3 linked regions of the Neodiprion lecontei genome follow. The protein of the gene in region 1 interacts with the protein of each later gene in a biochemical or structural test. Links are inferred from orthologs where the notes say so. Each region holds a gene or a part of one and is shown on either strand. Other genes may lie near its edges. The genes, in order: cullin-3-A, peflin and kelch-like protein diablo.

Evidence for each region.
Region 2: the proteins of cullin-3-A (region 1) and peflin form a complex in vitro, tested with the Homo sapiens proteins (2 studies listed by BioGRID). The link is inferred for Neodiprion lecontei from reciprocal best matches to the Homo sapiens genes CUL3 and PEF1.
Region 3: the proteins of cullin-3-A (region 1) and kelch-like protein diablo form a complex in vitro, tested with the Homo sapiens proteins (2 studies listed by BioGRID and IntAct). The link is inferred for Neodiprion lecontei from reciprocal best matches to the Homo sapiens genes CUL3 and KLHL20.

Annotation. Positions count from the first base shown.
Region 1 is NC_060264.1:23,153,590-23,165,886, forward strand, and holds cullin-3-A, read left to right. Parts: upstream 1-5,089; 5' UTR 5,090-5,104; coding exon 5,105-5,230; intron 5,231-5,305; coding exon 5,306-5,689; intron 5,690-5,764; coding exon 5,765-5,968; intron 5,969-6,051; coding exon 6,052-6,231; intron 6,232-6,344; coding exon 6,345-6,719; intron 6,720-6,788; coding exon 6,789-6,959; intron 6,960-7,728; coding exon 7,729-7,836; intron 7,837-7,956; coding exon 7,957-8,134; intron 8,135-8,213; coding exon 8,214-8,440; intron 8,441-8,518; coding exon 8,519-8,688; intron 8,689-8,756; coding exon 8,757-8,895; intron 8,896-8,980; coding exon 8,981-9,105; intron 9,106-9,202; coding exon 9,203-9,227; 3' UTR 9,228-9,263; exon of another isoform or gene 9,264-9,891; 3' UTR 9,892-10,385; downstream 10,386-12,297. Other genes in the region: isocitrate dehydrogenase [NADP] cytoplasmic, read left to right, coding at 128-328, 975-2,189. UniProt on the Homo sapiens protein: Core component of multiple cullin-RING-based BCR (BTB-CUL3-RBX1) E3 ubiquitin-protein ligase complexes which mediate the ubiquitination and subsequent proteasomal degradation of target proteins.
Region 2 is NC_060263.1:22,830,629-22,840,753, reverse strand, and holds peflin, read left to right. Parts: upstream 1-3,326; 5' UTR 3,327-3,458; coding exon 3,459-3,470; intron 3,471-4,559; coding exon 4,560-4,737; intron 4,738-5,196; coding exon 5,197-5,475; intron 5,476-5,613; coding exon 5,614-5,705; 3' UTR 5,706-6,584; downstream 6,585-10,125. Other genes in the region: centaurin-gamma-1A, read right to left, coding at 9,451-9,627. UniProt on the Homo sapiens protein: Calcium-binding protein that acts as an adapter that bridges unrelated proteins or stabilizes weak protein-protein complexes in response to calcium.
Region 3 is NC_060261.1:28,448,997-28,458,371, reverse strand, and holds the start of kelch-like protein diablo, read right to left. Parts: upstream 5,996-9,375; 5' UTR 5,606-5,995; intron 1-5,605. Other genes in the region: exportin-2, read left to right, coding at 6,960-7,044, 7,190-7,335, 8,386-8,724, 8,950-9,057, 9,186-9,278. UniProt on the Homo sapiens protein: Substrate-specific adapter of a BCR (BTB-CUL3-RBX1) E3 ubiquitin-protein ligase complex involved in interferon response and anterograde Golgi to endosome transport.

The sequences.
Region 1 (12,297 bases):
CGGTCGACGGGACCAGTGACGGTGCAACTCTAGGATCGTTCGATACGCGGTACGCAACCCGTTCCGTACACGTACTCATCCTATCCCCTAGTCGTATAATCCGGTAATAATAACAATAACAGGCGCCATGTTCCGTTCCTTGACTCGCCTGTTAGGACCGAGTGCCGCCGTGGACAGTGCGGCTCGATTACTTCGCTGCAGTACGTCGTCCGTCGCTCTGCTCGACCGAAACTCCTCATTCGACGCATCGCGCAGACGAAACCTTACGTGGACGACACAGACATCGAAAAACTTCAGCTCCACGTCAATCGCTATGGCTAAGATCAAGGTATCTATGAATGTACATATCTCACCCTGATCCATCACGCTCCCCCGAGGCGTCGCCCTGTTAGCCGATTCATCTTCCTGCAGTTTAAAAAACATTCGAGTCTCATACGGCCGGTCGCGATCGTCGCGTATCCGTTTTAAACAGTTTCTATACTAATGCCGCGACTGAGAGAAGGCACTTCAAATCACGAGACACTTGCGATTCACCTTTCGGGGAACTTTATTGTTCGCAGCGTTCGTGTTCCGAAGTATTCCGTATTTATTGCATGATTAGAACCCCGTTCCAAACCACCTTGGATGATAGTGCACATTATGGTGCACAGTGCAGAGGTCGATCCCCTCTCCTCCCCCCCACATTTAGTCGACCCATCGTTTGCCGTGGAATGTCGATGGTTTCACTTAAATAGAAAACAAGCTCGAGGTCGAGTGAAAGCTAATAAGTTTCGAATGATAAGGTTCCTACTACAATGTGGATATCACAGCGATCATTATCTCACGCGATATAAGCCGTAATAATCAATTGATTGATAGTTTGATTATTTCTCGGAATTTCCGTTCATGATTAGATTGTACAATGAAATTGTTGTAAATAAGATGTTCAGCAGTTTCTTATGAAAATACTTAAAGAAACAGCATTTTTCCAACAGGCTGGACCCGTCGTTGACATTCTTGGAGATGAGATGACTCGTATCATCTGGGACTCTATCAAGAACAAATTGATACTCCCGTTCCTGGATATTGAGTTGCACATTTATGATCTGGGTATGGAGAACCGGGACGCAACTAATGACCAGGTGACGGTGGACTGCGCGGAGGCTGTAAAGAAATATAACGTGGGCATAAAGTGTGCGACGATAACTCCGGACGAAAATCGAGTCAAGGAGTTCAAGTTGAAACAGATGTGGAAGAGCCCCAACGGCACTATCAGGAATATACTGGGCGGCACTGTCTTCAGGGAAGCTATAATCTGCAAGAATATTCCGCGGCTGGTGACTGGTTGGAATCAACCCATTATTATCGGCCGTCACGCCCATGCTGACCAGTACAAGGCCACAGACTTTGTGGTACCAGGTGCCGGTAAACTGGAAATCACCTGGACAGGTGAGTCAGGCGACAAAATCCAGCACACTGTCTACCAGTTCAAGGGGGCTGGCATCGCTCAGGCCCAGTTCAACACCGACGAGAGCATCCGTGACTTTGCCCACAGCTCTTTCCAGTATGCTTTGGCTCGGACCTACCCGCTCTATCTTTCGACCAAGAACACCATCCTGAAAAAATATGATGGCAGATTTAAGGACATTTTCCAGGAGATTTACGAGGCTGAGTACCGTTCCAAGTTCGAAGCAAAGAATATCTGGTACGAGCATCGGCTCATTGACGACATGGTTGCCTACGCTATGAAATCCGAGGGTGGCTTTGTCTGGGCTTGCAAGAACTACGACGGAGACGTTCAGTCAGATTCCGTTGCTCAAGGTTATGGCTCTCTAGGCCTGATGACCTCTGTGCTTCTCTGCCCTGATGGCAAGACGGTCGAGGCTGAGGCTGCGCATGGAACAGTCACTCGGCATTACCGCCAATATCAACTGGGTAAAGAGACATCGACCAATCCGATTGCCTCGATCTTTGCTTGGACAAGGGGCCTACTACACCGTGCTAAGCTGGACAACAACAACCAGTTGAAGAAATTCGCAGAGACTCTGGAGAAAGTTTGCATTGATACGATCGAGGCTGGAAGTATGACTAAAGATTTGGCAATCTGCATCAAGGGCATGAACAATGTCAAAAGGTCAGACTATCTTGAGACGTTCGAGTTTATGGACAAGCTCGCTGACAATTTAAAGAAGGAACTGGCCAAGGCGTGACTGCAAACATACATGTTCCCAGATATCCGGAGGTCGAAGCTTTGAGCCCAGGAAAGGGCTGCTGCTTCATTTATTCCAGAATCTATTGCCAATTTTTTCAGTTTAAACCTTCGAGGGGTGTTTATTGGATGAGGAAAATAGTTTTTTTTTTTTTTTTTTTTAGACAATACATGCGTTAATAGCACAACACTCAAGTATTCTTAAGTATGAAAATGCCATTGTTATTACAGGAACCTTTAGCCTGTGAAATATTTTTGTAAACCTATAAGTCAAATGAACGATTTTCGTCTGGTTTTCAATGTATAAACAAAAGGTTTTATAAATATGTTTTACAATGATTTTACCATTTGATTGCCTCATTTACAGGAACTGTGAAAACCTGCATGTGCGAATATTGTTGGATTATCTATAGTCTCGTATTCCTTCGAAATAGCTGTGGACTGATATGAAACCTTGCTCTACAGCTACACTGTATTCAAATTATATAACTTCAAGACTTCCTGAGTAGCCATGGTCAAAGATCAAGTTGGATACTTGAATTGCGTATACTTTACGTAACTCCACAACTTGAATGTTGGCATAAAACGCAATTCTTTTCCACCTATATCTAAATTATCGGTAACCGGTTACTTGCTAGTTCATTGTAATGAAAGATTGATTTCAACAAATTGGTGATCGATGAGTGAGCCTTAAATGCGCCGAAAATACAGCGTTCGTTTGAGCACTGAAAAAAATTATGAAGCATTTACTTCCGAACTATCGGCTTTGGACGAATAGTTTCGAAGGGCTAATAGAAAGTCATTGTATTACAAGACCAGTGTAGTGCATCATGATAATTCCTAGGAAATTGCGTCACCGAGAGCGAGAGGTATTGCAGTATCAAAAACCCTCCTAGCCATCTAACTATCCGAACAGAAGGCTTCTAGACAGCTGTATTGGAATTTTCTCACCATGGATGCTATAGAGCTGTAGTATCGGCAGTCAGTGATGAAATGCAGCTTTATCGTTTAATGGAATTGGATAATTCATCCAGTGCGATATACCGCGGTATACATCTATGCTTGGTAAACGCGTATTTTATTATAGTTTTAGGTTACGTTACGTTCAAAAAAACCTCTTTGCCATCTAACTATCGGAACAAAGGGCTCCTAGTCAGCTGTACGGGAACTTCTTTACCATGGGGGTTGGAGGCATGTAGTTCCGGTAGTCGGTAATGAAATGCAGCCTAATTATTCAACGGAATAGGATTATTCGCCAAGTGCGATATTTTGTGTATACAATTATGCGTGGTAATCGCGTATTTTGTTACAGTTTTATGTTACGTTCCATTACATCGTGATAAAAATGTGTATTTATAGTACCGCGTGAATCGAACGCAGCCCACAGCGCTCGATTAGTTATTCGCGCTCCGTGCTCGCTTCATCGCCTTCTCCTCCTCCTCCGGCAGCCCGTCGTCATCGTCGCGGAATAATTAGGAAAATAGATCGTCTGATACACACGGTTGAAATTCGGTATGCCTCGATCTGTGGGAATATGTGCGTCATTCCATTGAAGTGAGATTAATTAAGGCGGAGGTAAAAAGGAAAGAAAAGCACAAAGAGAACTAACGAGGAAGAGACGAGCTTGTTAAAGACCGACGACGTGAGGCAGACGCGTTTAAATAACCCTATAAAATAAATTCTGTGTTTTGGTGGCGCGACTCCATTTTATACCTACCACTACCCACCACACAGTCCCGCGATAACGGGTAATTTCAGATGCCTTGTTTTCCTGTAAATAACCGACATTGACTGGTCGCTCGGTCCCCGTTGTTTCTCACCGTCGAGCGAGCGTCGATATTATTCCTCGAACCCACCATTGCGAAATACACGTCGCCCCCGCGCCCGCCCCTGGCCTCGATGCGTGAATGACACCGTTAAAGCTTTGTAAATGTGCGTACGGAGATCGAGATTTTCGCTGACTCGATTTTATAGTGTTGGTAGTAATAATACCGAAGTGTCAAGCTGAACGAAGACCCTTGAGGAGATTTTTTACTACTGAAAATGATGAAGAGCGGTGCGACCCACAAGAGAGAAAAAATGCGGATACGCGCGTTTCCGGTAAGAAGATTTCTCACGTATCTTATTTCCCTCATCGACGAATATGCATGCCCATTTGATTAAAAGGAGGAAAAACTCGCTGCTCCTCGCCTCGCCTCGCCTCGCCTTTCGACTCGGGCAGTTTTCATATTGTCACGATCTCACGATCCTCGAGGCTCGACGCTCGGGTCCGTCGGATTTCACGCACTGTCATTTAAATGGAAATATGTCCACCCGTCATCCTCCCCACCTCCTCTTTCCCGACCCCTTTAACCTAGCTCACATCGACTAAAACCATATAACAATATAATATATTTGATCAGCTTTCACTTTCGGCCCCTTTGTATATTGTATCAAGATAGCCAAACCACAGCAGCCTACGAAAGGTGCACTGGTTTGGTGAACGAACCTAATGTGTTTTTTTCCCCATTCTCACCCCCCCCCCCCCCCCCCCCAAATTCAAGACAGTTGCCTTAGCAGTCATAAAGACAATGGAAAGGAGTATGCCTTTCACTTTTTTTTCCCTACAAATCCAAAAACGAAATTTTTCACCCCGACAAACGCTACTTTCGCCAAATTTTCAAGTCCAAAGTCTTACAAATCACTGAAACTATCAATAGGCTGATAGATTGCCTGTTCAAAGGACTAGGCCTGGATGTAGAAACTCCAATTTAGTGACAGCAGTAATCACGTCTTTGCTGATGCTATATTGACAAGTCAAGGTTAATTTTGAGCGTTCTTGATATGGCGACTATGCCGATCGACACATAAAACAATAGGTTAAAGAAAGTGATTGAGCGGTCACCACACAGAGAAGGATTGGATAAAAATCCAACCATGGAACGTGGTCAGTTAGAAAAACCAACTTCACAAATTATGTGTGGAGCACTCAGTGAAATAGCTACTATCTCAGGGCTGTTTCGATCAGGGAATCCGAGCTCCCTTGTGATCGTCGACACCCTTGTGAGGGACACTGCCTATTAGTTTGCCAAATCAGCGTTGATTTTTTATTCTCACACCTAGATGCTCTGTTTTTAGATGACCATGGACGAAAAATATGTGGAGAGTATTTGGGCACTGTTGAAGAACGCCATACAAGAAATACAAAAGAAAAACAACTCCGGCCTGAGTTTTGAGGAGCTGTACCGAAATGCATACACCATGGTCCTTCACAAGCATGGCGAGCGTTTGTACACCGGGTTGAAAGAAGTTGTTACGCAGCACCTGGAGTCGAAAGTTCGGGAAGACGTGCTACGCTCCCTTCACAACAATTTTCTCCAGACACTGAATCAGGCTTGGAACGATCATCAGACCTCTATGGTTATGATCAGGGATATACTAATGTACATGGATAGGGTTTATGTGCAACAGCATGATGTTGACAACGTCTACAACTTGGGCCTAATCATATTCAGGGATCAGGTAACACATCGATTGAAACCGTTGCTTTCGCTACATCTGTACAAATCCTTTTTGACGAATCGTTATTTATTTCAGGTAGTCAGGTACGGCTGCGTGAGGGATCATCTACGCGAGACACTCCTGGGCATGGTAGCGAGAGAGAGAAGGGGGGAGGTCGTTGATCGAATCGCGATAAAGAATGCATGTCAAATGCTAATGCTGCTCGGTATAAACTGTCGCCAAGTTTACGAAGAGGATTTCGAGAGGCCTTTCTTACAACAGAGCGCTGAATTTTACAGGGCAAGTTTTACTTTTATTTTCACAAAACCATATCAATTGTCCTATTAATTTTCAATCAATCGTGTTTAACGAATATTCAACAGATGGAGTCGCAAAAGTTCCTTGGCGAGAACAGCGCCTCAGTCTACATAAAGAAAGTTGAAGCTAGAATTCTTGAAGAGTCAGAACGGGCGAAGCACTATCTGGACGAATCCACAGAGCCAAGGATAGTCAAAGTGGTGGAAGAAGAGTTGATTAAAATACACATGAGAACCATCGTTGAGGTGAGGACAAAATTTAGCAGTAAACTTCATGTATATCAAATCTTTGTTACGTGTTACAGAATTGCTCTAAAGTCTTGTAAACTTTGAAATAATTCAAATGAATGCTGTTGCAGATGGAAAACAGTGGTGTGGTGCATATGTTGAAGAACCAGAAAACTGAAGACCTTGGTTGCATGTACAAATTATTCGCGAGAGTAACAGACGGATTGCGCACTGTATCAGATTGTGTGTCGCAATTCCTCAGAGAGCAAGGACGCGCCTTGGTCCAAGAAGAGCATGAGCCAACCACAAACGCAATACACTTTGTGCAAAATCTGCTGGACTTGAAAGATCGTTTCGACCATTTCCTGCACCACTCGTTTAACAATGATAAACTATTCAAGCAAATGATCGCGTCGGATTTTGAACACTTTCTGAATCTAAATTCAAAGAGCCCTGAGTATCTTTCTCTCTTTATCGATGACAAATTAAAAAAAGGTGTAAAGGGGGTAAGTTGAATGCGGCTTGGCATGAAGATCCTTTCGTGCAGGTTTTAACTGAAATGTTACTTTCTACAGATGACAGAGCAGGAGATCGAAGGCGTGCTTGACAAGACAATGGTTCTCTTCAGGTTCCTGCAAGAGAAGGATGTCTTTGAGCGATACTATAAACAGCATTTAGCCAAGCGGTTGCTTCTGAATAAGTCCGTCTCCGATGACAGTGAAAAGAATATGATCTCAAAGCTAAAGGTACATGATCCATAATTGCGTCTTACAAACGCGCTCGTAGATGCGCTGACACCTAGTTTCATTCGGCATACTTTGGCAAACTGAGGCTAGAGTAAATTGTCCCATTGGATAGTGTGAAAATTTTAAATGGCATAGTTCTGGCAGACACAGGGCGCGTTCAACGTGGACGTGGACATCTTGATCGCAATGAAAAAGCTGAACGCTGAGCCACCCAAAGATTCCCAGGAGTCGTTCTTCCTTCAAAGGTCGAAGGGCTAGTGCACAAAGAGAAACTAGACTAGAGTATGTCCGTCCACCCTGTGTCCCGATCCCATTGTAGGATCAAGTAAGTGTCCGCTTTGTAAACCATGCTGAAAACCATGCTTCGAGCTGAGCAACCAACCGTCAAACCTTCCAACAATTTAATCATCCTTCGGTTCAGGCTCGTATGCGAGTATTATTCGTCAAAGTATTGGATCAAATTCAGACACGGCGCGTGTCTCGGGCATGCTTTACGAAGCTCTGATTTTCTTAGCCGATTAAACACTATATTGCAATTGGTGTGATAGACAATTTGGCAGAGGGAGTGGCAAAGACACATGCCTTGGAGTTCTGCATGGTTTAATAAAGCTAGCACTTTACTTATAAAAGACGTACGAATGTAGAAACCTTTCGTCAACTACTGCAGGACTTCAGGGCAGGTCAAAACCTCGATTCAAAACAGTTACCGCAGACTCTGACACTGTATATACGTACCTATATAATAACTCATAACTGTGCAATTTTTTAGACTGAATGCGGTTGCCAGTTTACATCAAAGCTGGAAGGAATGTTCAAGGATATGACGGTCAGCAATACTATAATGGAAGAGTTCAAGGAACACGTATTAACGTCTGGCGTAAGTTACAAACGTGTTGAAAAAAATCCTTCATTCTCACATCAAATCTGAAATGATCAAACTGACGTGGAACTGCTCAGGCATAATTATTTCTGGATAATTGTTTATCAAATTTCACAGACAAGTCTACACGGCGTTGATCTGAGCGTGAGGGTTCTGACAACAGGATTTTGGCCAACACAGTCAGCAACACCGAATTGCAGTGTGCCCTCAGCGCCAAGAGAAGCGTTTGATGCTTTTCGATGTTTCTACTTGGCCAAGCATAGCGGTCGTCAACTGACGTTACAACCACAATTGGGTAATTACTAGTCATCTTTGTTGAATCGAGTTCAAGCAGAATTGGCAAATTAATGGTTCATTGTTGACCGTGTGCACAGGTTCGGCTGACCTTAATGCGGTTTTCCATGGGCCTCGGAAGGAAGACAGTAATGGCGGAAGCGTGGACGTTCCCTCGTCCTCTACCACATTGGGCAACGGAAGTGGCAGTCTTTTAAGTCAGCGGGGAAGCAGCAGTGGAAATCCCCGCAAACATATTATCCAAGTATCGACGTACCAGATGTGCGTACTCATGCTCTTCAACAACAGAGATCGACTCACTTACGAGGTTTGTTACATTCCCATGATTTTAGTTGGTAAAAAGATAAATGATCTCTACTGATGCCAGCGTTTATTAATATCGCAGGAAATTCAGAATGAAACTGACATCCCTGAGCGAGATTTAGTCCGAGCATTACAATCTCTGGCAATGGGGAAGGCGACTCAGCGAGTTCTCCTCAAGCATCCCAAAACTAAAGAAATTGAGCCAACACACTGCTTCAGTGTCAATGATAGTTTCACCAGTAAGCTTCATCGGTAAGTTTTGAGATTGACATTATATCTTTGATCGTTTCTGCCTTATATCGGGTCTGTCCAACTTCTAGAGTAAAAATCCAGACGGTTGCGGCGAAAGGAGAGTCCGAGCCTGAGAGAAGAGAGACGAGGAACAAGGTTGACGAAGATCGAAAGCATGAAATAGAAGCGGCGATCGTGCGAATTATGAAGGCACGCAAACGCATGACAGTACGTATTCGTCTGTCGATCGCTTCATAAAATGTATGAATCTCGATCGTATTCGTTATCTCATACTTTGTTTCAATCTAATTAGCACAACATTCTCGTGACGGAAGTCACGGAGCAGCTTCGAGTACGATTCCTGCCCTCACCTGTCATCATCAAGAAACGCATCGAAGGGCTGATAGAACGTGATTATCTGGCCCGCACGGAAGACAGGTGAATAACACAGTTCTTTTTGTTTTTACCGTTCTTATATTTCCCACATGACTCAAACAAAACTTCGGTTCATCCCTACATTCACTATTTGTTACAGGAAAGTCTACACTTACGTGGCTTGAACACTGCCCCAAGCATCCCCAAGTTTGTACAATTGCGTAAGTGGCCACCCCAACATATTAGGCACGGTATTCACAATCTCGTATTAGTATCAAGCCTGCGCGTATTTAATTATTCGGATATTTCCTCGGCAATCGTTGTTATTATATTATCCTTCCCCCTTATCATAGAGATTTAAAAAGAATAAACGAAATTTTTTACATTCGATACCGAGTTGTTTCAAATATATATACTATGTACACATACGGCCGTCGGCAAGGGTAACTGCGTAGAGAACGCACGACGTGTACTTCATGAACCAAACTGGGTATTTCTGGGGAATTGTTATGCCCCAAAGAAGTTCTATAATTGCTCATCGTTGTCACATGACTGTCAACTAGTCTCGTATCAACTAATCGAACACAACTGCTTTGTGCAATACAAATTTCCTCTGCACATTCCAAGTCTTTTAAAATTAATTTGTGTTCAAAGTCTGCACGAATACTTTCTCCGTACTCTTCGTTTTATTTGTTTTGATTCGGTTTTGCTATTTTCTTTTGTTTTGTCACATGTGACAGTGATGAGTGGTTAACGGTAACGGACGTTTGTAGAGTGTAACATAAGATCTATAATAATGAAATCAAAACATTAAGATATACTTCATTTATTTATTTTTATTTTTTCCAGAATCTATCGACTCTGATATTAAGAACTCTGAGTCGAAATAAAATGAATTGATCGTATAAAATCTGTAACTAATTTGAGAAAGAAAAAACTCGCCAACGGTAAACAATATAGATTTAATTATTATAAAGAATTTAAATTATTCCAGATGCATTAATGAATTATACTTGCGTACATTTTACGTGTTATACTTCCGCCCTACCCTTGTCCCGTTTCATGTCCACTTCCTCTCTGAATAATTCCTTGTAGAATTTGGCTCTTGCAAAAACTATAAAATAATATACACAGGTATATTGTCGTGGGTAAAACAGCGACTGCCTATACCTAATTTGTTACGAACGCGACTGTAGAAATTGAGTGCGAATGTGCGTATATAATATATGCGAAAAGTTTTTTTTTGACTGGGTGTATAAGTAAGGTGTGTCTGAGTATGTATCTTCAAACTATTGTATATGATAATGAAAAAAACGTTGTATCAATAAATGGATTTAAATACAGTCAATTTTACCTATAAACATTATAATGGGTGAACCCTGATTTGGGACAAGAAATTCATACATTTTATCAGATTCACGTATGACGACAGAACAGAAAAAATACAAGAAATATGAATGCTCTCGTATTACGTTTCTATCACAAAAAATCGAACCTGTGCTTCAAAAAATGGTACAGTCAGAATCAAGTTTTCAGGTTCGTCGCGGTACAAATGCTGATCATTACGTGTACAATTAAAAATTCCTCTCAAGCAAGACCGGATTCTGCGCGCAGGGGGAATTGTGACAGATCGTGCGCGGCGTCGGCAGCGATCGGCGCGTTGTTAGTTTGCCGCCGGTGTTGGTGGCGCCAGGACTTCCAGGGATTGGACCTCCGTCGCGAGCTTGTCAGTACATGTAATAATTCACCGAACGTGGACGAGGCGTTCGTTTCATCTGTGTGCGAAAAATAATGTGCCGCTACCAGTCCGTGTTTCGACTTCTTTGAAGAGCGGTGAACAACGAGGGCTGGATGATTTCGCACCCCTGCACATTAGTGAGTACCATTGCATCCCTCTCCACTACACAGCCACCATTCGATTTACGAAAATTCATTGCCAATTCCTCTGACAAGGTCAAAAGAAGTCACGTGCAGGCATGCATTCGCGTCCCGTACGTTCCGGGAATACGTAATCGCGCCGCTGCGTAAGATAGAAAACCGCGATATCCCCACTAGGAAAAAGGCAGCGCACGCGGTTTCCTCGATATAGCGACCCTCATCCATTCGTCCAGCGGCAATTGATTCCTCTGTAGCATCATAGCGCGGTATTATACCACGATTTCCCATTTCGACGGAAGCAGTGATTCGTACTCGCGTATTCTTCCCGGTGTATTGTATCACGGCGTCGTTTCCACAGCCCCCGGGAACACGGAGGTGAGAAGAGACGTTCGTTCTGAAATACTTCCTCCTCGCCGGGGATATAAATAAGTTCGTTAATGGCCTAGGATTGCCAGTTCTTCCGGGGTGTGGTACACGAAACGCCATACAACTGTCCCTGAGCCGACGCATTCATCATGTACGTATAATGCTATATGTTCGGCCTTAGCTTCGGAATGAGCAGTTTTGTCGGAGTGTCGGGTGTTTCGCAAATTGCACGACCTGCACACACACGTTCGCTGTTGTTATTTGCGGCGAATTGGGCAACGCACCGACGAACTGCGGATCCCTCGAATCGGGTCCCCCATCGATTATTCTTACTCTCGTAGCAGTTTAGCGATTCGTCACATTATGTTGAGTTACATTTTTTTGCACAATTCACAGGGCCGGCGGTATGTGGCAATGGTATTCGTGTTGCATGCGTACCTACAGTCACATTGTGTCCGCCGCGTTTAATCATCCGATATGACATTTAAACTGTTGGCACAATCGCAAGTTCGCCCCGTGCACTATTTTCGTATAAATAGTACCGCGCAAAATAAATACACAGCTTGCAGGGGGGTACAATTGAAGAATATTAGCCATCGTGTTACGTACTAATTGCGAGTATTTTTTTTCGATTCTTCCGCCCTCTTCGAGATGAATTACGTATTGTTAATTCAAGAATATGAAGAAGTTAAATTGTCTCGTTAACGAGGCAGTAAAATCTTTTTGTTCGCTGGATTGTTTTTCGGAATAAGATGCATACCAAATGAGCTCATCACAAAGAAAACATATCACGCTGATAATTATTATGCAAGTTTGTAATCAACAATGCGGATATCTGCAGGGAGTTGAGATTTTCTTGGTGGACTGTTTGTTCGGAAAGTTACGGAAATTTATCATAACTACAAGGCAGTATCGTGGATATGAGAAACATAAATTGGGTTTCATTTTCGTCGTCGAAACTGTGCCCAAGACTATAAATTATACAATTAGTAAATGCAAAGAAATAGATTA
Region 2 (10,125 bases), on another chromosome or scaffold:
ATGCACTATTTCGATGTAATTTTGCGAGAGAAATCGATTGGGCGAAGTTCCAATAGGCCGCGATCAACAGATCAAAAGTTGCAGCCAATAAACGAGAACCTGTGTTTTCGACATTTTTCAGCAGGTGCTTTTTTCTTCGTATTTTCTCTCCTGTTGATCCGACGCTCTTTTTGGTGCGTTTTCTGCAATCATGGGGGTTCAATAAGCTCAGGAAAGAGTCATACAAATCGAATCTGAGACAATAGATTTTTTGACCAAAATCGTAAAAAAAAAGGAAGGCTCATCCCTTCGCACTTTTAGCGAAAATTTTCGCGATTCTGAAGTGCTGGAATAAATTATTTGGTACACTATACCGACGTAATTTTGCGAGCGGAATCGATTGGGCGTAGTCCCAATACGCTACGATGAACGGATCAAAAGTTACAGCTACAAAACAGAAGATTTCCATCGTACCTCTCCTGCTGTTGATCCCACGCTCTTTTTTATACATTTTCCTAGTTTCTGAGGGTCCAATTACTCAGGAAAGGGTCATACAAATAGAATCTGAGACGAAAAATTTTCAGCTCTGCACATGAAGGAAAAAATGAGGCTAATCTCTTTGCAGTTTGGACGAAAATTTTCGCGATTTTGAAAAGTACAGCAGCAGCGCGTTAAAAGTTAAGCTCTAAAAATGGAAACTTTCGTTTGTATCTCCTTAGCTTCTAGCTTAGGGTAGGGTAGGGTAGGGCGTAGGGTAGGATACGGTAGTGTAGGGTAGTGTAGGGTAGAGTAGGGCGTAGGGTAGGGTAGGGTAGGGTAGGGTAGGGTCGGGCGTAGGGTAGGGTAGGTTACGGTATGGTAGGGTAGGGTAAGGTTGGGTTGGGTTGGGTTGGGTTCCTTCCCCTACTCCAACTCCTACTACTCTTAATCCTCCTACTCCTACTAAAATGTTAAACTCACCGAGCACAAATCCTCGTCCTCTTTCTCGTCCACCGCCGACCACCTCCAACCACCGCCAACCATCTCCTACAACCACCGACAACCACTTCGGGTTGTACCTTGAATAGTAATAAATATTTCCAGTATAAGGACACATCAAAAATATTTTGTAAGGATTACTATAATTAATTAATCAATTAATAATATAATAAATTTTATCAGCGCATTTATAGCTACTGAAGTTGTGCTTGCGCGAAAAATGAATCGAAATCATTTATTACAAACATGACAAGTGTGAAAAATTTTAGATGAAATAAAAAATTTCAGATGAAATATAATTGCAATTGCCATTAAATATCATTAAAATATTAAACTCACCAAGCACAAATCCTCGTCCTCCTCGTAAACCTTGTTCTCCTCGTCTTCCGCGTCCTCCTCCTCGTCCACCTCCGACCACCAACAACCACCGCTAATCACCTCGGGTTGTACTTCGCATACTTATAAATGAGTGCTTGTCCCGGAAGTCAAGTATTATCAGGCAATGGATCCTGAACGCAGAAACCACGGAGCGCTTGTTGCTGAAGTCGAGTTTCACCAGGTAGCGGACTTGGAGCACAAAAACTACGGAGCTCTTGTCCTGGAAGTCAAGTTTCACCAGCTAGCGGACCTGGAGCACAGAAACTACGGAGTGCTTGTCCTGGGCGTCGAGTCGCACCAGGAAGCGGACCCGGAGCGCAGCATCCAGGAGTTAGAGAACCCGGTACTCGAAATTTGCGGAGCGTGATTCTCATACGTCCGCTCTACTGCGTGGTTGTTTCCAGACTGAGGAATTCGGCCAACTGATTTTCGTCTATACAGATCAAGAGAGAAAAAATTTTGGGTGACGTCACTTTCTGAACATCCGAACATCCAAAATTTGGTTTCGAACTTTAATACTATGTATGTATGATGTATGATGGTATGATGTATGATGATTTTAGTTTTCACATTTCAGACAAGAAATGCGCACCTTATATTTCCTGCCGGTTCCAGACTCAAGCGGCTAGGCCTTTCGATGGTCAGCCGTTGACTGAAGATATATTCTTCAGTTAATAGGTTAGCTAATAACGCTGCCGTTCTGCGACAGTTCGATGATAACAATTTTTGCTCACACCTTTCAAGTGTGTGATGAAGTAGACTCGTTTTCTCTCTCCCTATCAAAAAAAAAAAATCGTCCACAATCACCTTTTTAGCCTTTTAAAAATTAGTACTTGGTAAGTAAGACAATGGTAATAATTGATACTCTCATCAAATAAATTGATATTGTATTGCATTGTTCATAGGAGTAAAACTTATAAAATTTATTTATTACAAAAACCGATTGTTAAGAAAAATAATCTAGTCGGTCGATTAATAGAGTTTAAAAAATAATAGACTGTACTCGATTAATCAAGTTCGAAAAATAATCGACTGTTCTTGCTTAATCGGGCAAAAATAATCGAATTAATTGCAAATCGATTATTTTTGACCAATGCCCAGATTTTCAGATGGTCTGGATTTTTTATATGTTGTAGATCTTGGCATTATGAACAAGTCTCCATGAGTATGACCTTCCGCTATGAACAGTTTGGGAGCTAGAAAAATACTCATCCTATACCCAGTATTCCTTTGTGCAAGAAAATCGACCAAAAAATATTATTATTTCTTATTTATAAAATTTAGGCCCGTAACCGGACATGACTACTTGAAGTCTATGGACTCGTCCCCTTCTTCAACCACAATTGAAATCGGCCACCCGCCGTAGACTCTTTAATTTTGTTTTCTGCTCGGTGATAAGCACACGATCGGTAGTGCAAAGGGTTGCACATCCAATCCCGTGCGTCGTAAAATTCCTACGGATATCGAACATGTCAGAATGTATGTAAATCTTTGAACAGTAATGTTCATTAATGCCTCCCTTTTCTGGCTAACTTGTTTGCGGTCCGAAACAAAATGCGAATTTTATTTTATACGGATTGTGTAACAGTGACTGGCAATGCAGCTGACGCGAGAAAATCACTGACCTTTCGAGAAAGTGGTTGTATTGGTATACATACCTATACATAATTCGTATTAGAACTCGCATTTTGTTTCGGACCGAAAATAAGGTAGCCGAAAAGAGAAGGCATAAGTCCGTGGCATTTATAAACATTACTAAATACATGCATACCTGGGTAAAATATTCACCTACGATCACATAGAATTTATCTGCATAGTCGTAAATTTGTGTAATGAATGCGCGTATTGTGTCCATTGTTTTATATAGCCTAGGGACTCTATCTGGTCCTAGTGCTTGCCGCGTATGGCAGCAAAGAATGCATAACTGTGTGGTCTTGTCATTCATTCGTCGCGTCGAGTTCGCCTTTCTCTTCACCTCCATGAACTACTCGTGGTTTAGATGCCGTATTGCGTAATTTACGTCAGAGGAGTACTTCATCACTGATATATATATATACTCCTTTCCTGTTTTCATTCCGCAAGTAGCTGTGAGTGTACGCGATCGCGTTATATTTCAACCAATTATGGCTTATTCGGTAAGCTATTTTGTTTGTAAAAATAATAAAACTTCTGTTAGATTTACATTGACGTATTAAGTAATCACTTCACTTGAACACACTTATTGTTTTTCTTCACATTGTTCAGTGTTCATAGTTCATGATATTTTAGTTACAATTGTACGCTTCGTTACTCATAATTCATATCCGCTTGAGGTTGAGGTTGAACAATTTGACTTTTGTATTTTGGGTTAAATCAAGCTTTGGTGTGTTATCTTGGTGAACACTGATATACAGTATAATGCATTCATAATATTTATAATTTTAACTATGTACATATTTCATTTTGATCACGACAATGTTGCTGATATACTATAACATCATGGTGTTGAAGTTCCAATAATAAACAACGTACCTGTAGTTTGAATCGATCAAGCTTGATTGTAAGGAGTTCCGCTACTATACTGATAGTTTAGTGCCGCTTTAAGCCAAAGTTTTGCTATTTTTGATCACTAAATAGCTGACCAAGGTACTTATTTTGTAACCTCAAGGTGCGTATTTTGCAGTTTCTGGGTAGTCAACAACGCTAAAACAACAGTTTACGTTAGGCTGAATCAGACAGGCATGCTGCTTCACCATCGCTACAATCCATTAGTTTTAGCATTGTTTGCTGTGTTGGGACTGTAAAGTTACAGAATAAGTAACCACATTTTCTTCACCTCTTGGAAACTTATATTTGGAAAAAAACATCACGCAATATTGTTATATGAATCTTGTTGATGAAAATAGCCAAAGTTTTGTCCCATATTAAGTGGTTTTAGTTTTAATCTTGAGGCAAAGTATCTGTTTGTGATTGTATTTTAAATATGCAATTGAATTGAGGTATGAATATAAGTTCGACTTTCATTGTAACCTCACATTTGACAGTAAATTCAAACTTCGCATCTCAAATGTAAAGATTTTATGAAAGTTGGTAGGTTTGTAATTTTGTTGTCTGCCTCAACTGGGCAATTGATTCTTGTATTTTTTATATTTAGATTTCATTTCGATCATCAAATTTTGTTCATGGTTCTAAGCATTTCATCAGCCTCATACATATGACAATACTGACAAAGAAAACAATTAAAGCAGGGTGCTACTTTCGGTTCAACGCAAGGTCATATCCAGGTCAGTCCGGAGATTCAAAAATGGTTCGCAACACTTGATCGAGATCACAGTGGTCGGATAACAGCTACTGAATTAAAGAGTGCCTTAGCAAATGGACAAGGGAGCACTTTTTCTGACACAGCTTGCAAGCTGATGATTGGTATGTCCGTAAATATAATTATTTTCTCCTAATTACAGATACCAATAGATTTATATTGAAACCACGACCCTTCGAAACTCCTTTTTCTCAATACTTCCTACTTATGGGTACAATTATCGCTTGGTGAAAGATTAATTTCTTTCTAGAAAAAAAAAGAACTAATTCAATTGTGATAAGATTGGAAAAATAAATATTGGCTCAAGAGTTAGATAGGTCGTGATACGGCGTATTAAGGACATCCCACTCAGACAGTAAACCTGTAAAAAAGAATTACATATGAACAGAAACAATGATTCAATTTTACATAAAAAATTTACGAAAATATCACCAAATGTGAAGTTGAATATTTCATTAGCATAATCTTATCCGTGACAGAGCATGCGAAATTCAGTAACTGAAATTTACATTCTTATTTTAGACATTTACCTTGTTATTGATATTTTTATTTGATTTTGATAGGAATGTTCGACAAGGAAAAGAAGGGTACGATAGATATTCAAGAATTCCAAGCCTTATTTAACTATGTTAATGCATGGCTCGGTGTATTTCGAGGTTTCGACCATGACAACTCTGGAAGCATTCAGGAGAGTGAGCTATCAGCTGCTCTAACGCAGATGGGTTATAGATTTAGCCCTGAGTTTATAAAATTCCTTATACAGAAGAGTGATTTTAATCAACACCAATCCATCAGTATTGATCAGTTCATTGTTTTATGTGTACAAATTCAAAGGTTTACAGGTAACGTTTATCATTTCTGCATAAAATAAATTTTATTTGATTAATTGTAAGACAGACATTGTCAAAATATTTTATCCAGTATTCCTGATAAAAGCCATATTATAGTAAATCTTTTCATAATTTCTTATCATATTTCAGAGGCATTCAGGCAAAGAGATGCTCAACAGAGTGGCACAATATCGATCGCCTTTGAAGATTTCTTGAGCGTGGCTCTCAACTGCAGTGTTTGAGAATTTTTGAATCCAATACTAATTGCAAATAATATTTCTCATTGCATTTGCACATTAACCTGTATATTGTTCTACGTGACCAACACATTACCCGAATTCTATCTATTCGACAGATGAAAATTTTCCAAAACCAGGCAGTTTGCTGCGCTGGAAAAACAAGCTTATTCATTCAAAATAAATGTAAATAACACTTTGTTAACGATAAAACGTCGTAAGCTAATTTTTTGGCATTCCAAATGATTACAAAACGTGTTTGACTGCAACTATTTCAACTAACTTATCGAAATTTTCCAAGGTCGAGCGACCATTTCTGAGATTCAAGGATCACTAATCAGCTCTGACTTGAGAACTATGAAGTATGGTGTATGGCATCCAGTACAATGCTTCGCTTAGCTAAGTAGAAAGAAGAAGAAGAGAGCTTTGCGATATTCCACACGCAATTGTTTGATAATCAGTCAACAAACTCTTAGCATAGTCGGTATATATGTCTATATCTCCATGCTTGATCCTAGCTCTCCATATCTGATTAGGCTGGGAGGGACGGATCTACTGTGCGTATGCACGGACCGTGCTGAAAAGCGGATCAATTCCTTCAAATTGGCCATTCTGAATTGCATGTTTCTCAACTTCTAAGTCGTTGGCTTATTCGAATTAGCTATATTAATTATTTTTTGTAAGAAGATGAGAGAAAAATACTCTATAATTTCGTATTTCTAATATTAAGGATGTTATAAACAAAACTGGTATTATCCGCAATAGTAACTGTAGCGACTCATTCGTTTCCTGAGAACAATGATGCATAATCATAACATGTGACAGTGATATGTGATCGTCTATGTATTTGTTTATACCTATGAATAAATACATTTTCACAAAGAAGCTTAGTACTACCTTATTACATCTGAAATCTATTGGTCATATTAGTTTCATAATGTGTGCTCTCTGTGTTTGCTAGAATTTATATTGCAGGTATCTTCCCCCGAAATTTTCAGAAACTGTAACTGGTTTCTTTTTGTCATAGAAGAAAAACTTTGTTTTATGTTTGGGGTTTTCGTAGTATTAATTTCTGAACATGTAGAGTCTAGGAATAAAAATTCAGAAGTGATACTTAACTTCTACATTTAGGTAGGTACTGGCTCGCCTATCAATGCTAAACTGTACTTTCTATGTGAAAAAGACTTTTAGTCCGTAAAATTTATAATATATGGATCAATGAATGAACAATTGAGTGGATTCGTAATTGCGTTTTATCAGTGATAGTTCTGACGAGCAGTCGTCGAACTCACGGGTTGAATTAGACCTTGAACTAAACAGTATCGTCTTTTAGGCGTAATTACACATAGCATATTTGTTCGTATCTTTATGTCTTGTCACTTTAATTCTATTCGTCACCTTGTTGAGCTGCTACACACAGGTATTAAAACACTTGCGCTAGCATTAAGGCATATTTAATAAACTGTACTAGATTGGGTCTGAAACTGTGTCTATGACTATTCAATTTTTTTACTTACCTCTATGAAAATTTTGTGCATTTTCATGTGTTTCGGACGTAACTTTAACACTGGTTAATTGATACCGTCAAATCCTTTGTGGCTTCAATAAAAAATAATTCGCATCAAACAATATAATTTTTTCGCCACCCGCAAAGAAATATTTTGTTGAATTGATTATACCCCTTTGTACCCATAATTCTCATTATCTTGTACCACACTGGTATAAATCACTCGTTACCGCTGAACCCACCGGAGAATATTGTAGAAAATGATGACTCTGATTCGGTTTGTAGGATTCTGAATTAACCGCCGTTTCGCATACACAGTAAGTTGTAGGTTTGTAGAAATCGTTGGCGCAGAAGCCCGTCAGCAGCTTATTCACAGGTGATGATATTCTCTTTTTCTAAATGAGCTTAACTACCCGATGCAGTTTATGATGCACAAATCGGCAAGAAAACTCATTTCATAAATGCTACTTTATCTTTCAAATAAGCAAGTGCTATTTTCTTCATCACTTCTACTCGATCTACAATATCAGTCGTGATCGGCAAAGACTTACAGTTTATTTAATTAAAGTAATGAAAACGTTGGATGGCATAAAATACTATAGTCCTTCAAATAACTTTCGTGGTCCTTCATGCAATCAGAATTAGTCCATGACCAATCAGAGAGCGTGAGACTCAGTGGGTGTGAAAAAGCTGAAAGTAAAAAATACAAAATCGATGCTGGTAAGAATTTGCAACCGAGTAATTTTACTGGGATCATATGAAGCCAATCCCCACATTGTAATATGAAACCGGACTCATTTGGTCCTTATGTGATCTAATCATTACTAAAAATATCATATAAAAAACTTCCGTGATTTATATCTTTGTTTGTCGTAGATTTCATGTATTGAACTCAGTTAAAAATAAATACTACTGTACTGTTGCAACTTTTTACGAAATATAAAATATACGTTGTACCATCTGTGCACGTTATATATACCAAAGCAAAAGTGAGGGAGTCATGTTTAGTGACTAAATTATTTAAAATATGGAATATAGTATTTTTAATAAGTCAATATCAATCAACCAGCTTAATTGAAGTTTCTGATTTCAGGCGTCCCAAATCAAGTTTACCTCGTTATATTTACGACTATTCTACTCGGTACATTGCTTTATTTTCTCTCTTTTTCAAACTGCTAAAAAACAGACATGTCTTGCTCGTGCATTCTTCAAGCATCACGGGCAATCAATTCCACAGTGGGAACGGTCCGTAAATACTCCCGATTTGACCGTGGTTGTACTTAACGCCGTAACTTGACAATAATTCTGAAATAGTAGTATTAGCAACTACCAAGACTTGTACCATCAAATCAGTTAACCTTCAGGTGTAATGGGATTAATGGTTTTGATAGGAGCATTAAACGAGAAAAATTTCGTAGCTGAGGAATGTGCTAAACCTTGAAAATGGGCTATCATCATACAGTAATAGGCAGCAAGCATTTTTCATCAATTGATAATAACTTCCTAAACTTGTTCTCAATTACAACTAATTTAATTCGGATGTTTCGGAAAACGCTTGCACATATCCTTAAACGATTCAACTCTTGTAACGGTGCTCTTCCATCACAACCAATAATTCTGTTATCCTTATTCTTCGGCATACACGAATAGTTATTCGACAATGAACGAGACTTTCAAATCTCCATCGTGCTCTATTGAATTTTTTACAATTTATTTTTAAAAAGGAATCGTGCCCAAAGACACGAAAAATTGAATTTAACATAAAAAAATAGTTTTTTCCGCATTCACTGCTTTCTATCGAATGTGAAAAATTTATGATTAAAATTACGAGTCATAATTAGAAATAACATAATAATTTGTTTTTGGAATGAAATTGCCTAAAATTATTCAAAAATTGAAAATGTACGGAATTTAATCATTCGTATTTTACCTAAGAGCGAGACAAAAATTCCAAATAATTTACTAGTGCAATTTTAATCTCCGTCAGTACTATGTTATAAAAAAAAATCCAATATTGGAAATCGCGACGAATTGGAATTTATCGCATTGGCGTGGATTACCTCATTTATATCTACAAATATACTTTGTATATATATTTATATCTATTAATTAATTGTAGAATGTTACTAATTAATTTTTTTACTTATACACAAAACCCGTTAAAGTATTTTGTAGTGTACAATAAGTACATGATAACTGTGTCATAAAATGTGATAATCTTAATCGAGTGAGGTGTTAGAATGTTTAATACTGGACAGTTTCGGAATCATCAACACCGGAGATACTTGCTTGTTCTAAAACCTCCAGAAGTTTTTGCATTTCCATTGAATCGGAAGAATTGTCGATTGTCCTTTCGAGAGCTTGCACATAAGACATACAAGTTCGTCCTTCATGGTCTAAACTATGAGGATTTGCTTTTTGCTGAAATATAATATATAGAAGATAAGATCATTTTATAAATCTTAAACCTATGATAACTTTTCTTACAGTGGGAGAAATTTCTAGTTTTGGTAACAATACAGTCCTGGACTATTTACATTTCTCTATCATGATCGGAAAATGTGGTTGTGGGTTCTGAATGAAAATTAGTTTTGTAACTTCAATCAAAACATCTAGTTGCTTTCTATTCCTTTTGATTGTGATCACTCATGTCCTACTTTCTTGAAATTATCGCAATAATTTGATGGTGGTGGAACAATAAATTGATGTTAAGGCCCTATTTAACTGAAAAAATTTCGTTAGCTAAATAGATAGATTCATTGTTGCAATATCCAAAAAATATAGCATTGACAACTATAATTACACCGAATAGTTACTTGTACCACATTTTCTTATAATTCCGATAACATTTAAGTTACTATTGCAATGGTTCTTAAGTTACAGAAATTTTCTAGCAACTATATCAAATACAATTTTTCT
Region 3 (9,375 bases), on another chromosome or scaffold:
TACCGAGTAAAGTTGAAAGTTTCGAAAGGTGTTCTCGTATTTATTTTCACGGCCGTAAGCGACAGCCAGAAACAATCGCCCGATACGTCTAATATAATTTCCACGCAACGGAACCCGAAGCACAAAATCGACAAAGACTCGGAATACGAAACTTAAAGTACGCCCGACGGGGCTTCGACGTGTTGAAAAAAGAATACAAGAAAGGAGAATACAGAAAGAGCTGTTGCCGGTGTTCAACGGGCAATTAGTCAATGTCTGTCAATTGACCAACGCGGTCGAGGGTGGGTAATGTCGCAGAGAATTATTTATTTTTTAATCCACTAATTTAGCCCCGTTCATTGACGCTATTTTCGATGCTAAATAATTTATCGCTTGTACTACGGGTGCGAATAGATACGATCGCGACAGCTCTCGGTCGACGGTGTTACACTTATGTCCTGGTATATTAAATTGGACCTAATCTCGCCGTTCTATCGGTTATACGTACACAACGTGCATACCAATTCCCGATTAGAAATTTTTCAAATCAATGATTCCCGCGCCCACGTCCCGCAGCTTTAATGCATGCCCGCCGTTACACGCATACGTCTGAATAGTCCTTTTTAGGGGGGGATCCTGCAACCTGTGAAACAATATCCCCGCGTATTTGCAGGAACGATACGTTCAATTTCGTTGAAAGCTTTTAGCTTCCTGCTGCAGTAGCGATACAACGGTCGCTGCACATTCAAAGGATAAATATTATAATAAAAAGCTCGTCGCGTTTATAAGCGCCTGTATGTTCGTCGTGCGGGGTTATACGGTGCAGTAGTTACGGGGACGAGATCATCTCACGGGTCTGACTCCCAAATCAAACAAGTCAACGGCTTGTTAGGTATACACACGTGTTGTTGAGATACTGACTGTGCGAACGAATTTACCGCCGCATTGATGCTGTTTGAGTTATCAAGGCAAAAAAAAAAAAAAAATAGAAAAAAAAACGAAACAGAAAAAGGAAATCGATCTTTGTAATATGGTTTCAACGTAATTGGTTTTAATTTTATTTCGACCTGCAGGTTCACAGCGCGACTGAATTGTTGAATAATAAACGAGAATGACGATAATAATTCATTGTTATACGGTATAAATATTTTTATTTCTGGTCTTCTTTTTTTTTTTTTTGTAAGTCTTATTTGTCGAAAAAACAAAAATTTAATCCATTCCTTCAATTTTGTGCGTATTTCGCACAATTAATGAAAAAAAAACCCTACAATTGAAGATATCCATCGTTAATTTTGATTCTCATATTGTACGATTTTTTAGTTCATTATATTGATGTTTTTAGTTTCCGGAAAGGTAAAGTTATATTGGGCGAAATCGCATTATATTTATTTATGAATAAATACTTTTTTATCCACCCTGTAATCGTTTAACACAAAAGGAAAAACACCTCTTGCCATTGTCCGAATTGCCCACGTATTGAATATTTCTGAAACTTTTAACATTGAAGCTAATTTCTGACCATCCTTCATTCAAAGATCAAATCTATCTGCAAATTTACCGTGTAGCATTTTTTTGTAATCTCCCAAAACACTGAAAAAATTTCATTTGTTACAGTAACTATGAAAATTCAGTAAAACAGGTATCGTTAAAAAAATTGTTTGAATATTGTTGGAATTACGAAAAACGAGATACGCGTAACCATTTTGCGCTATCGTCGATCCTTTTTTGCTAATTGCAACGCAAAATCAGTTTGTTCGGTTTACTATACTTTTTTAGTTAAATAAGGCTTTAACATTAATTTATTGTTGCACAAGCATTGAATTTTCGCAACAGCTGCAACAAAATATAGTAACGGATACTAGAGTTTCCGGCTAGAAAACTAATTTTCATTTTCTACCTAGAACTATATTTTTCGATTGTGGTAAAAAATTAAAATGGTCAAGGACTGAGCGGTAACCGGAACTGAAAATTTCTCTAAGTGAAGAAACTTGTGATTATTACTTATGCCGACACTGAATTCTTGTGTAAAGTATCTCGAGCGATATTTTCCCATGTTTCTGCAAGTAGCACAACGTTTTCTGAAAGAACTAAACACCTTTTACAAATCATTTGTTTATGACAATTGCAGGACAGACGGTGAAATCGATTTTCAACTAAATACCCAATCACGAAGAATTCTTATTCGTACAAGGATCGTACAAAATATAGTAAAACTATAAATACTGTAACTCCTGCAGACACTTATTCACGATATCGAATACGAAAATAATCAAATACTTTGAAAAAACACATCACCGACAATGAGTTTATAATTAAACTTAAACTCCGCTACGGGACAAGACAATTCTTCGATAATTCTTATTTTTAAAGCTGAACAGGCGAGATTAAATTGCATGCGAAGTGGAAATCGGTCATTTCTGATTGCTCCACCCGGACCGGGAGGCACCGATCAATTTTCCTGAATCGGGAAGTCGCGTCGCTCCATCAAAGGGGCGCATAGCTGTTGCCACTTTACCGTGAACCGAGAAATTGTCCGATCTGTCACTCTCGCACCAAGCACCGATTAAGGGGTGGAGCTTTTCTACGCGGTTAAAATAAAAAAATAAGGAATTCGTGCACCTTGATCTTCGGCATCATCGGATCGTCTCATTCTGTTCTTATTGATCTAATTATCGAATTTGTTCCAATGTTGTACGCAGTTTAATTTGCCGAACTCGAGAATTGGGTAGGAATTATTTCTAAACTAGTCAACGGTACCTGAGCATTTTTTCATCAGCTCCGAAGGCTGCTGCTGCTGAGAAACGATTTTACAGGACAGCCTATGCCGTGAACTAAAACGTGGATCATTAGGTTAATTATCCAAGTCTGATAGGCGATCGCCAATTATTTCATCGCGTATAATAATATTGCGTCCAAGAGTTTACATATTTCATCTAATAACCGTCAATTACTTGACATTAGCCCATAGGCTTGGCTTTTCTTTCTTTTCACCTTTTCTACTTCTCTAATTTCTCTACGTCTCTTTGTGTTAATGCGCGTGTGGGTAAAAGACATGAATTGTTTCGTATTTAAAAGGTTTTCGCCTCATTGTCAGTCTACGACTGCTGCAGCCGTTCGACTTTCAAGTGGACAAAAGCGGCGTTTCGTGACAGATGAAAAATGACTATGAGCTTTTTAATAAGTGCCTCTACTCTGTCTTGGCTCGTTCCGTTGACATTAATTGCCCCGGCACGGCGCGCTGTGAGTGAGATCGCATCGCGTTGAAACTCGCATTACAGAACTCCGCGGAATCAAAAAGCTACTCCGCCTATACAACTGCCAACGCTAATTATAACCCGACTTCCTGGATTAATAATTAATGGTGTATAGATTGGTGTAAAGCAAATAAAGATATTTTTCTTTTGTCAAAGGTAAAAACCCGCGCACATCTTTCAAATGTCTCAGCCCCGCAGCCGCTATTTTATTTTCGTCTTTGTGTTTACTAAAAAAATACTTTTCAAACGGTTATACGCTGTGAATAATATGAAATTAGTTCAATCAAATTGTGGCTTTTCAGTTTCCTGTACACTATTATTTTGAACACTATATTTTTTCGATACTATAAAAAGATTGCTTGAAATTTTACCGCATTTTCGTAGAAAAATTGACCGTATTTCTGTATTTTGAATTGGTTTTCTAGCAAGTCAAAAGATGAAGCAAGTTTTTTTTCAGTCTCCCGAAGATGGAGTTAGTTTTATAGATAACCGCGTTTCGTCGTTCTTTCACCGTGAGTTGAAGAGTGGTTAAAAACTCGTACGACACAATTGAAAAAAGTATAAATTACGAATGATTGAATATACCGCTAACCAAGAAGACCTTCAAGTTTATTCGTAACAATGTGACGGTGAGTTTGATGCTAATTATTAATGAATAAGAGAGCCGTTCGGGACGCGTTGAGTGGCACGATAGCTGTACCTAGACGTGGCCGTAAATGTAGATCCATCTACAAAGTTTTCTGTTTTCCGTGTCAGCGGTTAGACGGGGGTGGTAAAAGTGTAAGGGAGAGACAGCCAGGTCGAGGCTTACCAAGGCCTCTGATCTAACATAAACATTTGTCAGTGCCCCGGACACCGCGTGGTTGATAACGTCTCATGTACGTTATGAAACATTAAACCGGCGAGTTCCTCGCGGTAATGATGCCCCCGGAGACAGTCCACTTCAGCAATTACATCTTTATCGTTGGTAGGACGAAGCAGCTCGCAGTGTCACCCGACTGATCAAACAATTTTTAATTTTCAGCCGTCAAGTCGGCAGCAGCGTCCATTGAGATGGGTCTGTATGTGCGTATGATACATTAACGCTGGTGTGAGTGGTCGGAAAATATGTATTACGCTATTATGCTATTATGATATTGCGTCGTCGTATATACGGCATTACGCGATCAATCCAACGCGCGATCTTTCGTTTTTCATTTTTCATTTTCAACCCTCGGGAGATTTAGGGGAGCCCGTAGAGGATCTGGGAGTGGAGCGATTGGAACGTGTTTTACGCGCGTGCAGCGACGACGCTCTGGGTGTTTAATTATTCAATGAAAGCCTTTTTAATTATCCTGCCGTTATACCAATTCTAACCCTTCCAATTTTATCGCTCATCATCGGTAAAGCAGGGCGACGCGTGTCGACGTGGAAAAGTCAGTGTTACGCCTACGAAGTAAAGTTATTCTTTGTTCCTAACGTCGGGGTGCTCGAAAATGCACCGAGTGAAATTTTTAGTTCCGTTTACCGCTCAATTCTTAACTATTTTCATTTTTTACCACAATAGAAAAATATAGTTCTAGGTAGAAAATGAAAATTAGTTTTCTAGCTGTTACCGGAAAGTCTGGTATCCGTTACTATTCTTTCTCATTACGATCACTGTTACCATATTTTCTTGCAACTGATGCGAAAATTTAATGCTTGTGCAACGATAAATTGACGTTAAAGCCTTGTTTAACTAAAAAAGTAGAGTAAACCTCACAAACTGATTTTGCGTTGCAATTATTACCAAAAAAGGATCTACAATAGCGCAAAATGGTTACGCGTATTTCGTTTTTCGTAATTCCAACAATATTCATATAATTTTTATAGTTACTGTAACAAATGAAATTTTTCTCAGTGTATAATTGTACTGTTAGACGTGTACTCTTTTGCTAAAGGGCCAGCCCAACATATGAATAAATGAATAGTGGCACACGTATTTATCAATTTACATTTCATTTTACAAAAATGCCAAAAACTTCAAACGTCGCCGCAAAGAAGAAAAAAGTAAGGAACAGTATCAAATCACCATTCGCTAGGTGTTTATTTATTGTAACGCATACTTTTGAGAGATGTAATGGTGTAAATACCATACTACTATTTCTAGTAACACTGTCTAATCAAACTATCAAATTACCGCACTTTGAAATCGAACAATTCAACTATCACGTATCCATCAATTATCTTTTCACCGTTGTCCCGATCATCATCTCACTAAGAGTCATCTGCTTTCATAATGAATAATAACTTTTCCATCGTCATGTAATCTTAATAAAATTTCATCATCATTAAATAGAGATTCATCATAGATCATAATTTTTCATTAAATATATAAAGGAATATAAACTCACCTGACACCCATAGTAACAACCAACAGCACATGTCACTTATGTTTCTAGCAGCTTCTGCACGTCATGACTTCAGAATTATTGTCCACTATATTGTTATATATGAAAGAAATTTTATTGGAACAACACGAAAAGAAATGCATTATATTAAAAATAAACTCAGCAATAAAATTAATCTGTCAATTATTGTTCCGCTTATTTATGCAAGATTGTTAGACACGAAAGAAGTTTACCCGAGCAATATGAATTATATTAACGAAATAAACACAAAACAATATGCTCAAAATCTGTAACATCTTAATTATCACTCGGCCTGAATATGTTAATTATTGCTCCGCTTTGTCGTTAAACGTTCAAGCTCGTACTTTTCGCTAGACGTTCATGCCCGTACTGATCACTAATTCGCTTTTCACGCGTTCGGTTTCTCAGGTCATCCAAACCATAAACATAAGGTGACACACACACATCGTACACAATAACAAAGATACAAACACACACACTCGACTTCACAACATCTAAAGTGACCTTTACAATACATCTATTATTATTTTATTATTATTAAGAGAAGATTCGACTAATTCTTCTCTGATTTAGAACGGCAGTTTTCGATCGGAGATAGAAACAATCAAGATGCGAAAACAAATAACTGTCGCGCGGCCAACTTCACGTCGCCGCGTCGGCGGTCCTATCAAAATCAGAATAAGATGTCATCTGCCAAAGAGAAACGATTAATCGCAATTAATTATCGCAACAACAATGCACACATTCAAAGTTATCTTTAACAATTTACTTACGATCATTTTATTATTATTGAGAGAAAATTCAAGAAATTCTTCTCCGTTATAGAATGATAATTTTTCATCAGATATAGACACAATTAAGGTCCAAAAACAAACAACCATCGCGCGACCAACTGCACGTCACCGCGTTGCCGGTTTACTTGAAATCAGAATAAAGTGTCATGTACGAAGTTAAGTACGAAGAAAAACAATTAATCGCAATTACTTATGGCAGGCAGGATCGATTTAAAACTCATGTAATTCTTCCACCATGCTCATAGGGTAATCCAAGCCACTGTCGGTAATTCTCTTTAGTCGGTAAGGTGCTGCTCCGCGTCGATATAGGGTTTTTTATTAAAAACCCGAGGTGACCTTAGTTTTCCGAATAGTACGCCTTGCTTCTGAGCGGTGACGCTAAGAGGGGAAAACGTTACGTTAGATTACGGAATTTGAAGTTAGACGAATAATGGAAGAGTAGAAAGAAGCCGGTGGGTTATGTTGTGTTAATTGTCTTCGAAACCCGCTGTACTCTTCCGTTCGCAAGTTTACCCATATTTGTAATAAAACAATACTACAGAATGGAGCTAACCGAAGAAAACCTTTTAACGCTAAGTGTGTATCTCAAGGAAACACTCGACCCTGACGTCAACGTCAGGCGACCCGGTGAGCATAACCTCACTAAATCAAATATAACGTGTTCTCAAATTCTACCAGTTGAAGTACGTTTAGTCAGAGTAATTCACATTTTCCTTCCTTCGTTCTTCCGAATTTATTTATTTACACGACTTTTATTTTCTTTCTTACGCAGCTGAAAAATTTCTGGAATCGGTCGAAGTGAACCAAAATTATCCCTTGCTACTGCTTCATCTGATCGACAAGGCTGAAGTTGATCTGGTCATCAGGATCACCGGCGCTGTCACATTTAAAAATTATATCAAACGGAACTGGAAAATCGTACGTGTATCTAACATTTTATCGCAGTCGTTTGCTTTGTGAATACTGGCGAGACATTAAAACACATCTCATTCCAGTTTGCTCCCTTCAAACCCTATATTTTTCTCTTCCGTTATCCAGTTGTAGAGGTTTCTGAAACTGATACATAACTAATAATGTTTACAGGTCATGCTATGCAATGGAGTTACTCAGTTTATCTCAGGTTGGCGTTCCTCTTTGAATCAGAAATCTTTGATAACAGGCTCTTAAAAGTCTCGATACTGACATGAATTTACATTTTTGGCATTCACTTTGCTTCTTGAAAGCCAGTAGCTTTTTATTTTTTAAAAATATCAAGAAATTTCTGGGTCTTTCCAACACTATCGATGAAAATATACTGTTATTCAACTTCGATAGCAATTGATTTTAATTAGGCTCGATATTTTAGGTTTGAGTGAAGATATCTCTCTTGTCAAAATTGTGTCATATGATATATTCCGAGACAATGAAAAATTTGAATTTGAGTTGGAGTCGAATAGTGTCTAGCATACTTTAAAAGTGAAATGCTTTTTTGAAAATCCCACTCTTTGGTTCGTTTCTAAGTTACTTGAATGATCTGCATTTTTTTAAACTCAAACTGAAACTGCAGTGACTTGCGATTGCAAATATTTATTTTGAACCTGAAGTCAATACGGTGCAAAAGTAATAAAGTAACGTGTATCTAGTAAAGTTCTACAAATGTTTTAGGGTTTTTACTTTCTTGGAATATTGAGAATCATTAAATTTTTTTTTTATCATCTGCAAAGATTTATATCCTTGTCTATCTAAACCTTGTAAATCAAAACTGAAAGTTTAATCATGATTGTTATGCGATACTAAATTTGTAGTCCATGATTGTGTACCCCAATGTGAATTTTTGTATTTTGAAAGGAGGTTGTCACTTCTTGTTGCTAAAGAATAACTGTAACCTTTTGGATAAAAATAGGGCGTTTTCTTGCAATTTAACGATGAAAAAAGTGTCATTAATTTTAAATTGTATGATTGTCTTTTTTTCCTCTACAATCAATAAAGGATGAAGATACCGGAGATCGCATACATATGCAAGATCGCCTAGCTGTGAAGCGATTGATAATGAACTTGATGCTTCACTCGCCAGAGTCAATCCAGAAACAGTTATCGGATGCTGTTTCCATCATTGGTAGACACGATTTCCCTGAGAAATGGCCAGAGCTCATAGATCAGATGGTTGAAAAGTTTAATACCGGTGACTTCCATGTTATAAACGGTGTTCTTCACACCGCTCACTCTCTATTCAAGAGATATAGATACGAATTCAAGAGCCAGAGCCTTTGGACTGAGATCAAATTAGTACTCGACCAATTCGCCAAACCCTTGACCGATCTTTTTTTGGTAAGGACCTTGTTTCCATTATTCTGTGTAATAGTGATAGGCTGCTTTCTTATATTCAGCTAGAAAAAAGTATACCGATAAAGTAAAAATTTGCTCCTTACATATGTAATATTAATGAATTCGTTGCAAAATCACATTGGATGAATTAAGAGAATCAGAAAGTTCATGTACCTGAATTAATTGAATAGTTAAAACTCTTACTAATATCCACTTTATTCTTGATAGGCAACCATGAATCTTGCTCAAGTACATGCAAACAACATTGAAGCCTTGAAAATTATATACAACTCCCTGGTCATTCTGTGCAAAGTATTTTATTCCTTGAATTTTCAGGTAAGTAACGAGTTAACAATGTGCCTAAATAGGTAAATTAATGAATGGTCATGTATTAGTAATTACTTGAAGTGAATTCAATCAAATGTATGTATTTCGGTACAAAAGATACTTTCTACTTTGCCTAGGACTTGCCTGAATACTTTGAGGACAACATGAATGCTTGGATGACCAACTTCCACATTCTGCTTACTGTAGATGTTCCAGCGTTGAAAACAGCGGTAATTAACCTTTGCTGTATAATGTGTGGCACTAATCCTTGGGACAATTCCTTTACTCTGTTGTCATAATAACAACAACAACAACAATAATAATAAT